Linked DNA regions of Daphnia pulex. The protein of the gene in region 2 binds, or shares a complex with, the protein of the main gene of each other region. Links are inferred from orthologs where the notes say so. Each region holds a gene or a part of one and is shown on either strand. Other genes may lie near its edges. The genes, in order: RNA-binding protein spenito-like, protein virilizer homolog and N6-adenosine-methyltransferase non-catalytic subunit-like.

Region 1 (4,359 bases), on a different chromosome or scaffold from region 2:
GGGAACACTGAGCGAGGAGACACACTTGCCACTCACGCGCGCACCTCAAATCACCGTGATATAAACCCCATTCCCGGCTCCCTTTTCTTCCCCTCGTCTCACTGAATGAACAAACTGGTTAGTTTAGTAGTATTAGGCAAAAACCTAAGCACGACACAAACACACAACACATTCACACACACACACAATCACCGATGCAAACATTGGTCTTATTTAACTGATGCTTCGGGAACCTGAAAAGAAAACGTTAAAGCAAGAAAAAAAGTAAAGAAAGGTCAGGATTGACAGAGCTCATCTAATGGTCAAGAAAATGGTAAAGTTTTATTTTATGGTTTTGTTTGTAGGGATAACAAAACGGCCAAACCCAGATGTCGTTCGTATGCTGGTGAAAAATCTTGGTAGCGGTTGGTAGAAGATTAAAGGTGTGCGCGGGCTTTGTCTGAGAGATGGTAGTAAATCAGTTGTCGATTGATTTGTGTTTTAAGCAGTTCCTCCTGTCAAAATAATACAATTGAAAGATATTAAAATATGAAACGATAGTTAGAAATGATTGAATATACCTTTAACTACAACTATCACCAAGTGATCATCCTTTAGAGTCTCGTCAGACAGAGACGGAGCTGCTCGTCGGAGTAGATCGGCAGCGAATGGGCAAGGAGGGAAGGCGTAAAGGACGCCAGTCACATCTGCATTCTTATTGGCCAGCGAGATGACACCAGCCGCTTCTTTCTGCTTGAGATAAGTCACGAGATTGCGAAGCGGACGATTCTGGACACCTGCAGCCTCGTCGGAAGTGGGACTGGAAGCTCCGCCTGTCGATCCGGGCAGGCCGAGGAAGATGGCGTGAGACGCAGAAGCTGAAACTCGACGGGAAACGTCTTCCAGTTTGGGCGGATCCAACCTCAATCGCTGAGTAATTCGCAAATGAGGCTGGTTCTTCTCGTCGTGAAGCAAAAGATCGGCGATCGCCGCTTCGCCAGATGTCGCGTGTAATTTCGTGGGGAAAAACGAATTCTTGAGTACCAAGGCGCCCGTCCAATTGCTGGGAGAACGTCGAGCCACTTCCGCCAGCGTACGGGATCCAGTGAATCTTCCACCGTCGTCGGTTCGCCTTTCATTCGACGGCGATCGGGAACCTCCTCGGGCAGCGTCAAAATCATCCGGTGGAGGACGTCGGCTGCTGTTTGCCGACCAATCGTCACCATCGGCTCCTGATCCTCGATATCCGCTAGGCCTCTTCTCGTAGCCACTTCGGTTTCCTCGACCCGTCCGACCGGATCCCGCACGATAATTGGGATCATCTCCATTGTTCCAGTTGGTTTCGCCGGCATAATCGTCGCCAGCTCCACTTCTAGCGGTGGCAGCATCGTAGGAAGAAGACGATCCTTTAGTCTTGGCAGTTGGCGGATGAGCTGTCGGGGGATTGGTGTCAACAAAGTCAGTTTTCAGTTTCCGATCCGGGCCGCCCAGACAAAAGCCTCGCATGTCCTGAACGGCTGCTTGAGCTGCCTCAATCGTCTCGTACAAAATGTAAGCCGACGTGTCTCCTTTGTTGTATTCGATCTTCTTAATGGCGCCGAAACGGTCAAATTCACGCTCCAATTGTGCCAGCGACGTCCACGAGCCCAAACCTCCGACCCAGATGCGTGTAGTGGGCGTGGCTTTACCGTAACCGATCTTGACTTGAAATTTGCCAATGTACTGGCCAGAAAGCTCGACTTTACACCGATTGGCCTGGTCCAAATTCTCGAAACGAACAAAGGCGTAAGCGTTGCCAGTGCCTGGAGGCGGTCTCTTGATGTCAACATCCTCGACGATGCCGTAATTGCCAAAGATGCGACGCAGCTCTTCCTCTGTTATGTTGATCTCCAGGTTACCGGCGAAAAGAGTCCGAGTAGCCAATGGATCCTCTTCTGGCGGGATGTGGTGCAAATAATTTGGGAAACGATCTTTCTTGTTCTCGTAGCGGTCGTGATTTCGATCTCCTCTTCCACCGCCTCCTTCTTCATTGCGACCTCCTCCACCTCCACCTCCGCCGCCGCCAGCTCCACCGCCTCCACCACCACCTCCTCGACTACCTCCACCTCGTTCACTTCTTTCATAATGGGGGACAGGTGGATGTCCTCCAGCGCCGTAATAAGAGTGACCACGGTAAGATGACGGTCCACGGGGAGGATAGTCGTACGGTGGTGGACGATAGTCTCTGTACATGCCAGTTGGAGGTGGAGGACCATATCCACGCAGAGAATAATCGTAACGATCGTCGTACATGCGGTGTCGATCATCTGGGGAACGAGGTCGAATGTAACGCTCTTCTTCGCCTCGGTATGGCAACGGTGAATAACTTCGTGAACGCGCCCTGGTGCTTCGCGCGGTAGAGGGTTCGTAAACAGGTTCGAGCACAGCTGGTTTGTCATACAAGATGATTCGCTGCTTGCTGTGCCTGGCTTCACGAGCATCTTCAGGGTTTCTGAATGAAACATAGGCCAAACGGTCTTCTGGTTCAGCACCGTGCACCAACTTGATGCTAACCTCACCATACTTTTTGAACTCTCTGTAGAGCGAGTCTTTGACAACTTCGTCACTGGCTTTGGGATGGATTGAGCTGACAAGGAGAGTCTTGTAACCAGTCGATGGGGGTGGTGGACGAGACCTTGGTGGTGGGTAGTCATCTCGTTCCCTCATCACTGGTGGATCGGGAGGCAGAGGGTATCTTGATCGGTGACTGGGGCTGGGTGAACGCCTACGTCTTGGAGGAGGAGCTCCACCTCTCTCATCATCAGAGCTTTCATCATAATGGCCTAGGCTTGAACGAGAGCGTTTGCTGAAAGGCGATGCATCACGGTCGGACACGCGTTTCATATTGAAGACTTGTCAAACAATCAACGATTCAATGTTAAACAACGTAAACCTAGCAACAAAGATGAATTATCACCAACGACATTTTCACAATCACGTCAATATTTGAGAATGGATGAAAAACTAAACACACTAACCAATAAAGTGGGTCTTGCGAACAGTTATGCAACGAGTATTTCTCACCGAACCAGAGCTTAAAAAGAACGCGTCCGAACAAGTAGAAGAAAATGGCGGAGCTCTATTCTGAGTTTGGACTCGGCTTTGACAATTTTAGCTTCTGGGGGTGGGGTTTCATTCCGTGGCAGCATTGCAAAATGCTACATTTTAGCAATTTATACCTAAGAATTTAATATCGAGAATTTCCAATTAAACTCTTTATTTTAATTGGGAAATATTTTGATTTGTTTTTTAATTTAATATATCAATCAATATTTTAACAAATTCCACACAATGCTGTAAAGCCATTCAGCCGGCAGTCTGTCGTCTGCTGAATAACACGGACAACTAAAAACAGCAAAAATTCAAAACAACCTCATTAAGTACCTGTAAAAGTAAAGACATCGTAAACTTTACTACGATGCATGTATTGTTATTCAGTGTTAATTGCATGTTTCTAGTCTAGGTGTATAATTATGTCGGATAAACCATCGGAAGCTGCACCTGTGGACAAAGAAGACAATTGGGGTTACGACTTGTACCCCGAAAGAAGGGGTGAAGCTGCACGTGCGAAATGGTGGCAGATTGCTTTGTTTGGTGCTGGTCAAACCAATGTAGAAAAAACTACATGTGAAAGGAATGTCTACAATTGCTTTGAAAACAGTAAACATCTCTGAACTTACGTTTTCTTACAAAATTCAGTTGTAAATTAATCCTTCCATTTGATTCATTTAGGTCCTCTTGTTAAGTTAATGTACAGTGCATTAAAATCATCTGGATGGTATGAAATAAAATTAAGGTTTTTTAAATTTCATTTATGCTGCAATATCTTCTCGCATTTTGACATAGTGAAATTGATTTGAGGAGACACATTGCCTGTGAAGTTTGTGATGTCTCGGTTTCTGGTGGCTATGATCCAAAACTTAATCAAGTAAATATTACAGATAATAAATAGTCCTTTTTTCTCAATTAATAATGATAATCTTTTGATTATGTCTATAGATAGTAGTATGCCAGAATGTAGTTCGGAACAAGGGAATAATTCAAGGAATTTTGACACACGAAATGATTCACATGTTTGACGCATGTCGACACCAACTTGATTTTAAAAATATCCACCATTTGGCGTGCACGGAAATCAGAGCAGCTAACCTGACCCATTGTAGTTTCATGTCGGCCATGTTTCAGGTAAAAAAGTGTGTGATCAAAACGTTGAGCAACCTTTTATATGGCTTTTTAATCTACAGGGAGACGCTTCGCCTTTCCGAATCCGTAAACAACACGCCGAATGCGTCAAAATGAAAGCATTGGGCTCAGTGATGGCCGTCCGTCCAGACGTCACGA
Region 2 (4,546 bases):
ATTAGGTAAATGGTCATTACCACGAAGAATGGGGAGAAAAGCGGCATAGCGTTTTTAGCGAAATATTTCGTTCCTTCCATTTTTTGAATTGTTGAAGATCCAAATGCACTAACTTGTTGTGGAGCGCTTACAATAAGACGCGACAGCGTCTTTTATTTATAGGAGACACGCTAGGAAACGAACTTGCAATCAGCTTATTGGGTGAAATAACCACCATAGCAGTTTATATATTTTGAAACTATTCAAGTAGTTTTAGAATTATGATAGTTCTCAATTTTACAAATGTATTTCAATAATTAGTTATTTCTATAAATGAGGGAATCTAATGAATTAGTTATATTTGTTAACCATGGTCTGTGTGTTATCTCATGGATATCATGGCTCATTCAAGAAACAACAAAAATATTTCAATAACAATTTTTAGAAGGTGTATTTTAAGTTATTGTTTGAAGAATTTTGTTAAGTAGTGGCAAACAAATACAAAAGTCCTTTGGCAAATTGGTAAATTTCATTCCCACCTAATTTTGATTCACCGTAAACCCGATCAACAAATGAAATTGGTACTTCACCAATTGTAAATCCCAATTGTCTAGCCCTTATAACCATTTCCATTTGAAAAACATACCCCTTTGATTTACAAGATTGCACCAGTTTTTCTAATACTTTTTTCTTGTACAAGCGGAAGCTACCAGTGAGGTCAGAAGCACCAGGTCTCAACAGCACTTGAGTAACATAGTTTGCACCTCTGCTAATCACTTTCCTTTTCAGGTCCCATCCATAAACTCCACCATTTCCACTGTAACGAGTTCCAGAAACCAAGTCATAGTCCTTTTCTTTTTGTTTTTCAATAAATTGGTGAATAAATTTAGGCTGCCAAGAAAATAAATGTTTTAAAATTAATGTCCCCTAAGGTTAAGTTTATAAAGATGATTACATGGTGAGATAGATCAGCATCCATGATCACAACATAATTGCCAGTAGCATGTTTGATTCCATGAATATAAGCAGTTCCAAGTCCAAGTTTCTTTTCTCGTGGCCTCAAGACCTGTGATATGACAATATTATAGCTAATTAGAAAAAAAAATACTTAGCCTAACACTACCATACAATTTTTTTATCTCCATAAATGGTTTGAAGCTGCTTTGCTACATCTAGGGTCCCATCAGGACTTCCATCATCAATTACAATAATTTCGAAATCGTATCCACTAACAAATAAAATGCATTGTTATGACCTGTAATCTTATTATGACTGCAAGCAAGTGTCAACCTTACCTGTCAGTAAAGGCTTTGACTAAGAGCCAGACAATAATTGGTAGATTGTCTTTTTCATTGTAAGTCGGAAGCAGGACACTATATTTGTCATCAGCTCCCATTTTATCGACACTTCTGAATTTGTTTTGGAAATTGACGGGACGCCTTGAAGTAATTGTGTGATTCAAACTTGTTGACGTAAGCAAGAAGCAAGGAATGTTATAAATTAAAGGTTGTTTCTCCCAGACCCATCTAGCGGATTACTGAGTTGGGGATCCCTCTAGTGGCAGTCGTATTTATATTTTCAGAAAACCATGACAGTTGCTGTTTATTAACCTTTTACGAACCCTCAAACTTTTTTCTATCCCTCAAAAATTTTACTCATGAAAGTTTTTCGGCTAGTATAAAATGTCTGTGTTAGAACAATTGATAATTGATAAAAAAATTGATAATGAGGAATTGCTCTTCTTCGATACGTTCGCACATGGTCCCACAGAGGTTTGAATCAATTCAGAAAATGTTTATTCATAAATCAATTTGGCTACAACTCAAACTTGGCGACATTTTGCAGGAATTGAATTTGGATTTGGTACAGTTTCCCAAGCCCGTGTACATAAATCAAGTGCGAGTCATACCTTTAGGCGCCAAAGTGCAAGCTGATTTCCCCGGAGGAGTGCGTTTAGGGTAGGTTACGACAGAACAAAATAAATTATAAGGATAATGTTTACATATTAACATGTATTTTCAGAGCAACGAATCCATCCCAGTTTAAGCTTGAACTATTTGTGAATGATTTGAGCAAACCTGGAGCATCTGCTTTTGAGACACTTGGTGTTCTAGATTACAATCAGAATTCTAACATTCATTACGATTCTGATAAAAAAGTAAATTGACTACTATGCATAATTAACAAACCATTTTAACCCCAAGTATATTTTACAGGTACCAACAGATGGCTTAGTTTTGAGAGGCTGGTATACCACTGTAACCCTAGCTGTTTATGGGGTTATTACACGAGCCCCAATAATCAGTATACCTCCACCACCCCCAGCAGCCCCTATCAAACCTGCTAGCCCAGTTCCAGTTGAACCAGCCCAGCCACCGGTTCCAGAATTAGCGCCAGTGTTTACAAATCAAATTATAGACGAAAAGTTACGGACTTCCACCCCTCCGTTCGAAGAAAAAGCAGAACTAATAAAGTGTGAAAATGCTTTTGTGACATCAACAGTGGTTGAATCTGAAGTAAAACGCGAGGATGAACCAGAAAAAGAAACCAAAGTGAAGGTCGAAGAAAAAGTAGTCGAGAAGGTGCGAGAGAAAAGCAGACGCAGTGATGAGTTCACACGGACGCGAGACACAAGTGACTTCCGTGAAAGAGAATGGGAATCCGATCGAACCAGCAAAGCAGATTCCGAACGTATCAATCGAAGTGATCATCGAAGCCGACACGATGTTGATCGATCCAAAAATGATTCGGATCGAATACGCCCAGATTCCGACAGATTTAAAGTTGAATCCGAACGTAGTAGAACAGATTCCGACCGTGAAAAGGCCAGAATAGAATTGGATAGAAAACGAAACGAGTCCGACCGAACTAAAAGTGAAAGGAGCGATTCAGATCGAACTAGAAGTGATCCTGAACGAACGAAGAGTGAATCGGATAGATCCAAAGGTGATGTCGGTAGGAACAGAATCGAATCAGAACGGACACGAACCGAAAAGAGCGACTCTGATAGAACCAGAAGTGATTCCGACCGAGTTAAATGTGATCCAGATCGAGTGAAAGGCGATTCAGAACGTGCCAGAACCGACGAACGAGGTAGAAACGACCGAGATCGCGAAAGACGTGGTGATAGAAGCGATCGTAAAGAGCGATCTAAGGAACGCGAACGAAGCAGTGGCGGAAGTGAACGTGATCGATCGCGAGAAAGATCCCGCGATCGCCATCGTGAAAAAGAGAGAGCAAAAGAACGAGGATCACGTGAAAGCTCGAGGCGGCCTCGGACTCCTGCAGAAGACAAGAAAATTGAAATTGCTATTGTCCTACCTGTACCGGTACCTGTACCGGTTGAAGTTCCACCTCCACCACCTCCACCACCCCCTCCGCCGCCACCTGCTTCCATAAAAAAAGATGAACCCCCTGTAGAATGCTTCTCGCCTGGTGTCGAAATGGAAGCTATATCAGACGATGACATGCCGGAAGTGGATAGTTTAGCCCCTCGCGCTGATGAAGTTGAAGAGGAAATAAACGAAGTTAATGAACCGGAATCCATTCTTCGGAAAGATGAGCCACCCGTTGAAGATGAGGTTGTCAATTCAACTGAAGTGTTAGTTGAAGCAGCCCCTGACAGCGTCGTCGAACCCGAAGAATTGGAAGAACTAGAAGAAATCCTCAGCGATGAAGACCTTATGTTTGAAGACTATAATGCCGACATGACGGATTTGGATATCAATGAATTCGGTGATCTTCTTGAAATCGGAAAGACATTTAATCCTTACGGTGTCGAACTGCAACCGCTGCAGAATTTTACAGATCCTTCAGACACCACATTACAACGAGTAAGCAAGAATGTCTCCGAACCTCGAATACCTTGCAAAGACTTAGAAGACGCTGCTTTGAGACTCCAGATGACGCTGGAGCTAACATCTCGCGGAGAAAAATGGATCGATAGCATGAATCAGTTGGCCTCTATCTTACCGAATGGTTTGGCTTACTTACACTCACAGCCGGATCTGCTCAAATCAATTCAAGATAAAGTGGTTGACTGGTTACTTCACGGCCTAGATTTCGATCATGCTCGCGAACAACCAGGTCCATCTACACATACGGTCCGTCACATCAAATGTGGTCTGAAACTCTCGCAGACGGTGGCCCAGTGCTCGCAGTCGCTTATAGAACGCTCAGTAGATTGTGGCGTCTTGACGAAAATTGCGAGCCTTTACGGTGCCCCCCACATGGCTCAGTCGCTCAAGCTAATGTGCCTGCGTAGCATTGATGCTCTGCTTTCATGGCCCTACGTCATGGAACATTGGATGAAGAATCCCGTACTGGAGTACCCAAACGGCTATGAATATTTCGTCCAGTTGTTAGAAGCGACTCAACCCTCCAGAGCTCAAGTAACAGTGACCGCACTCATCCGAAAGATACATACTTACGAAGCTCTGCAGCGGATTCATAACATCGGACAAATCCTGGCCCGTTTACCTCCAAACGGCTTTAGACGAAAAGACATTCGTCGCCCTTCAGGAATGAGCATTGAAAGTCAAGACTCGAACTCGCAGGACAGTTTTTC
Region 3 (3,981 bases), on a different chromosome or scaffold from region 2:
AGCAATTCATCACCGTTGTAATTCATTAATGGGTCATTCTATCCACAGGCGTGAAAATTGTCGACATTTTTGTTGGTCACGTTGGATTTCAGTTTTGCATCACGGTTTGCCAAACGTCGGCAGTTTTTGTGGTCATGTTTCTGATGTTCAAAGTACCTTGCCACGGTAGTGTGGCCCTGGCGTTACTCATTACCCTCCTCCAAGGATTCATTGGAATATGCTTTGGTATACAACGAAAAAGTTGATTCTTTTAAAAAATTTAAATGATTGTATACATTTTGTCTAAATCTCAATAGGTATGTTTACCGCTGCCATCTGCGATAACACTAACGGAGCACTTTACCTGACGCAAGCCAATTTTCTCCCGATTTTACTGATGGGAGGCATTTGTTGGCCGGTAGAAGGGATGCCTCCGGCATTACAAAAGGTTGCCCGTTTCCTACCGGTCACGTATGGCATCGAGTGTTTGAGAAGTATTCTTTCCCGCGGTTGGGGAATTGAAATGCCTGATGTCTACATGGGATTTTTAGTAAGCTTTGCATGGATATTTGGATTGACGATATTGACGTTGACAGTTATTCGCTACCGCAAATTTTCGAGCTAAAACAGCCGGTCCATCTATAAGTGAATCAAATTTCCAATTCGTAAGTTATTCGTATTAACAAGTATGCCACGGTTCATTTAACCTATTCTGAATTAACAAATAGCTGTCAATTTTTTGTCTAACTCTACCAAACAATATTAATTTTGCCTGATACCAATGGCAATAAAGTTATCAAATTGTTTTGTAATTTAAACAGAATCATCTATTCGCGTCATTTCCTTAAATGCGTTACACAATTTTATCTTAACTTTCGAAGTGTTGCAAAACAGAATTGAAAACTCAAAACGTTTATTTGCAATTTAATGCCTTAGAAATTAATTAAGTAATGCTTATTTCATCTTCCCCTGCCACGCGCTGCGCCCCGAGTAAAACCTCCGCGTCCACCTCCTGCCCCTTTGCTGCCTTTGGGTGGAGGAGATTTAGGGCGAAGAGCTTCAATCCTTTCTGTGCATCCGGTAGTCGTACAGTTACTATTAAAGTAGCCAGCGTATGTTTCTGCGTTGTAGTTGCTGTTTGTTAACGCTGGACCAACCGTCAACCAACCCGGTCGAATAGTACTGTCTCGCCCGAATAAGTGGAGCCTTAAAAATTAATTATTAATTAAAATTCTAATGAAGTGACCGTAAAAATAAATTCCTAACCTCCTTTTGCCAAGACAAAAATGTTCAATGATGTTGAAAATTTCGGACGGTTTCTCCAGAGATCCATACTCGGGTTCTTCCGTAATTATCAAATCGATATCGACATTGGCATGGATGAAATCTCCGTCCGTGGAACGCCTAACTGTTCCTTTGATTCCCATCAGACAATGCTCCTACTCAAAATCAGTACATCAGTAAAAGCATTTGGTTAGACGAAATTGAAATGGTCTTACTTTGGTTCGCTGGAAAACGGCTTTCTGCTCGAGGTTTTTCGAATGACCCGGAGCGTCTGCATTGGTTTTTATCCAGCAAATGTCTTCGCATCGCCGGAATCCCCATCGGCGCAAGCACACACGCCCCAAGTCTAGTCCATCACTGGAACCACACCACAAAAATATGAAACTCCTAGGAGCAGCAACTTCACCTATGTCGAGTTCCATAATCTAAGCGGAAAAAGAACCATTAATTCACAATCATTCATTATATTGTGGTTCAATATATATTTACCTGATCCCATGACAAAAAATCGACGTTGGTCACACCCAAAGAACGCTGGTATTCTTCCAAAGGAGGTTCAATGAGGATCACGTCAAATTTACAACCAATGTCTTTGAGATTAAACGTTTTTAAATCGGATTTCAGATACATGGGAGGCGAAGCTGTCTGGGCGATTAATTCATCTTTCAACCGAATAAGTTCCTTGAGCTTGGGATATTCTTCAAACCTATAAAAATGGTTAATTTAGTAGGTAATTGCTTTAGGGAAGATTTGCCCAATCATTTACCTATCAGCCAAGCCAACATCTCTTATAAAGTTTTGGGGTCTCTGTCCAGTATCAACAAAATGTTGGCAGTAATCATTGTGAGGGTTGGAAGACTGTGTTCCTTTTAGAAAGGTTGACGAATCAGTGTAAAGCAGTTTTGTCTCTTCGTCTTGTTGACTTCCGTCGGCATTAGCATTCTTTTTTATGTATTTCTCTGAAGGTCTAAGTAATTCCATTCCTGGTTCTGCTTTGGAACTATCTGTGCCACTTCCCAATGCCTCTTTCAATTTCTCCACTGACTGCATTCCCAACTGGTTAAAAAAACGTAAGCTAAGATTGAAAATGTGAATTTTTAAACTAAAGCACAATAAATACTCACGGTCTGTACGAGACATTGTTTCCGTTTTCTGGACAATTCTCTTCTCTGTTTTAGAAGGTCCACTTTATCCATATTAAGAGAGTTTTCTTCTTCTGTGACAGTTGTCTCTGCTAAAGGGAGAAGGCAGTGATACAGATTGTATTGATTCAGCCACTTAAATTGATTTCACCTTGTACACTGGAATTATCCACATAATTTGCCATTATAGATATCAAATGCTTAAATACCGACACAGTGCTCAATGTTGACTGTGGAGTACACCTTTAACATATCAAAACATTTAAAAACCCTAACCATTCAATAGTCCGCCATTATTATTTACCTTAGTTGCCGCTTGTAAATCAATGTCTTGTTTCGATATTTGATGAAAAGGGCAAAATATACTTGCAAGCATGAAATATCAAAGCACTTAATTTGAATTCTATCGGTTAAAATAAGATTTAAAATAATATTGATTAATTAATTGAAACCGTCAGCGGCCGAATTAACCATGGCCGAACTCCGGTATTTCAAAACTCAAAAATTTAAAATTTCGAAAGTCATTTGCAAGTTGAAATATATTAAAATTTTAAAAAGTATGCAAACTGAATACATTTGAATATCTGCATGTCACAATATTACAGAAAAAGCAAGCTCCGGCAAAGATGTTTCGGCTCGTTTTCGGCACATCAGCGATCAGCGGGATTCCTCATTGTTGCTGTTTAGTATCTACCAAGGGCAAAATTTACACGCTGTGTTAAAAGTGAGCAGAGAGGTACCGTCAGTGTCTCGAATCTTTGAGAGAAACGCGCCCTTTTCACTCTAAACTGAAGCGAAACAATCAAAGACATTACATTAGAGCTCAACCAGCATGGTTTGAGAGTTTTTCTACACGGAAAAGGATCGAAAAAGCACCTTTTCGTTGTTTTAGATTCTATTTATTCACAAAGTAGTACGGCTTTCTTCACAAATTTACAAAGTTGTTAAAGCACAAGTACTCATCTGAGTCGCAGACAATCTTATTTTTTGGCTTTTTAAAGTCAACAGGAAAAGGTAAGCTTGTTTTGTGTTGTCAAGTGTTAATTTATCAATTAAATCATTGTACCAAAAAAACCAATGTAATGTAACAGTATAACAGTAAGGGGTTTCCCAACCCCTTTAGACATCTCTAACAACCAATGAGAAACAAATAAATTTTTTTGACTTGGCGGTACCGAGTGGCAACGTTGTAGTTTCACTCAACGTTTCCGTTGGTTCGAAAAAAGTCGCTTCGAAATTTCAGTTTCACTCGACGCGTCGACAGTATTTTAAACGGCGTTTTTTTATAGTGGTTGTCATAGTGTATAATTTCCTAGGCAAATAGCCATTCTGTCCCTTTTATCGAATTTTAAGCTTATACTTTCGCCAAGGATGGCTTCTGATGGGCCATTAAAGGTAGTTGTTGAATGAAACTCACATGCTTTCAAGGTTACAACATGAATGTTTTGAAAGAAATTTTGTGATCCAAAACGTGACGTCTTACTATTCTTGATGTGAAGTGTGATCTAACATATTGTTTTTTTTTTTTTTTAGTCTTTGTTTGCAAAAATGAACAAAGGTACTGTTGCATCTGAGG

The links.
Region 1: protein virilizer homolog (region 2) and RNA-binding protein spenito-like share a complex: the UniProt entries of both Drosophila melanogaster proteins name them as parts of the WMM complex. The link is inferred for Daphnia pulex from reciprocal best matches to the Drosophila melanogaster genes vir and nito.
Region 3: protein virilizer homolog (region 2) and N6-adenosine-methyltransferase non-catalytic subunit-like share a complex: the UniProt entries of both Drosophila melanogaster proteins name them as parts of the WMM complex. The link is inferred for Daphnia pulex from reciprocal best matches to the Drosophila melanogaster genes vir and Mettl14.

What each region holds. Positions count from the first base shown.
Region 1 is NC_060023.1:11,551,291-11,555,649, reverse strand, and holds RNA-binding protein spenito-like, read right to left. Parts: upstream 3,139-4,359; 5' UTR 2,997-3,138; exon of another isoform or gene 2,912-2,996; 5' UTR 2,863-2,911; coding exon 561-2,862; intron 495-560; coding exon 481-494; 3' UTR 82-480; downstream 1-81. Other genes in the region: mitochondrial inner membrane protease ATP23 homolog, read left to right, coding at 3,492-3,678, 3,751-3,796, 3,865-3,946, 4,018-4,203, 4,263-4,359. UniProt on the Drosophila melanogaster protein: RNA-binding protein that acts as an associated component of the WMM complex, a complex that mediates N6-methyladenosine (m6A) methylation of mRNAs. M6a modification plays a role in the efficiency of mRNA splicing and is required for sex determination.
Region 2 is NC_060020.1:7,386,206-7,390,751, reverse strand, and holds the start of protein virilizer homolog, read left to right. Parts: upstream 1-1,577; 5' UTR 1,578-1,661; coding exon 1,662-1,751; intron 1,752-1,824; coding exon 1,825-1,937; intron 1,938-2,001; coding exon 2,002-2,137; intron 2,138-2,195; coding exon 2,196-4,546. Other genes in the region: dolichol-phosphate mannosyltransferase subunit 1-like, read right to left, coding at 460-870, 935-1,045, 1,108-1,207, 1,275-1,375. UniProt on the Drosophila melanogaster protein: Associated component of the WMM complex, a complex that mediates N6-methyladenosine (m6A) methylation of mRNAs, a modification that plays a role in the efficiency of mRNA splicing and is required for sex determination.
Region 3 is NC_060026.1:13,578,398-13,582,378, forward strand, and holds N6-adenosine-methyltransferase non-catalytic subunit-like, read right to left. Parts: upstream 2,721-3,981; 5' UTR 2,591-2,720; coding exon 2,557-2,590; intron 2,498-2,556; coding exon 2,388-2,497; intron 2,320-2,387; coding exon 2,030-2,319; intron 1,970-2,029; coding exon 1,753-1,969; intron 1,693-1,752; exon of another isoform or gene 1,689-1,692; coding exon 1,479-1,688; exon of another isoform or gene 1,419-1,478; coding exon 1,246-1,418; exon of another isoform or gene 1,186-1,245; coding exon 939-1,185; 3' UTR 876-938; downstream 1-875. Other genes in the region: ABC transporter G family member 20-like, read left to right, coding at 49-225, 297-604; DNA topoisomerase 2-like, read left to right, coding at 3,777-3,800, 3,939-3,981. UniProt on the Drosophila melanogaster protein: Non-catalytic component of the WMM complex, a complex that mediates N6-methyladenosine (m6A) methylation of mRNAs, a modification that plays a role in the efficiency of mRNA splicing and is required for sex determination.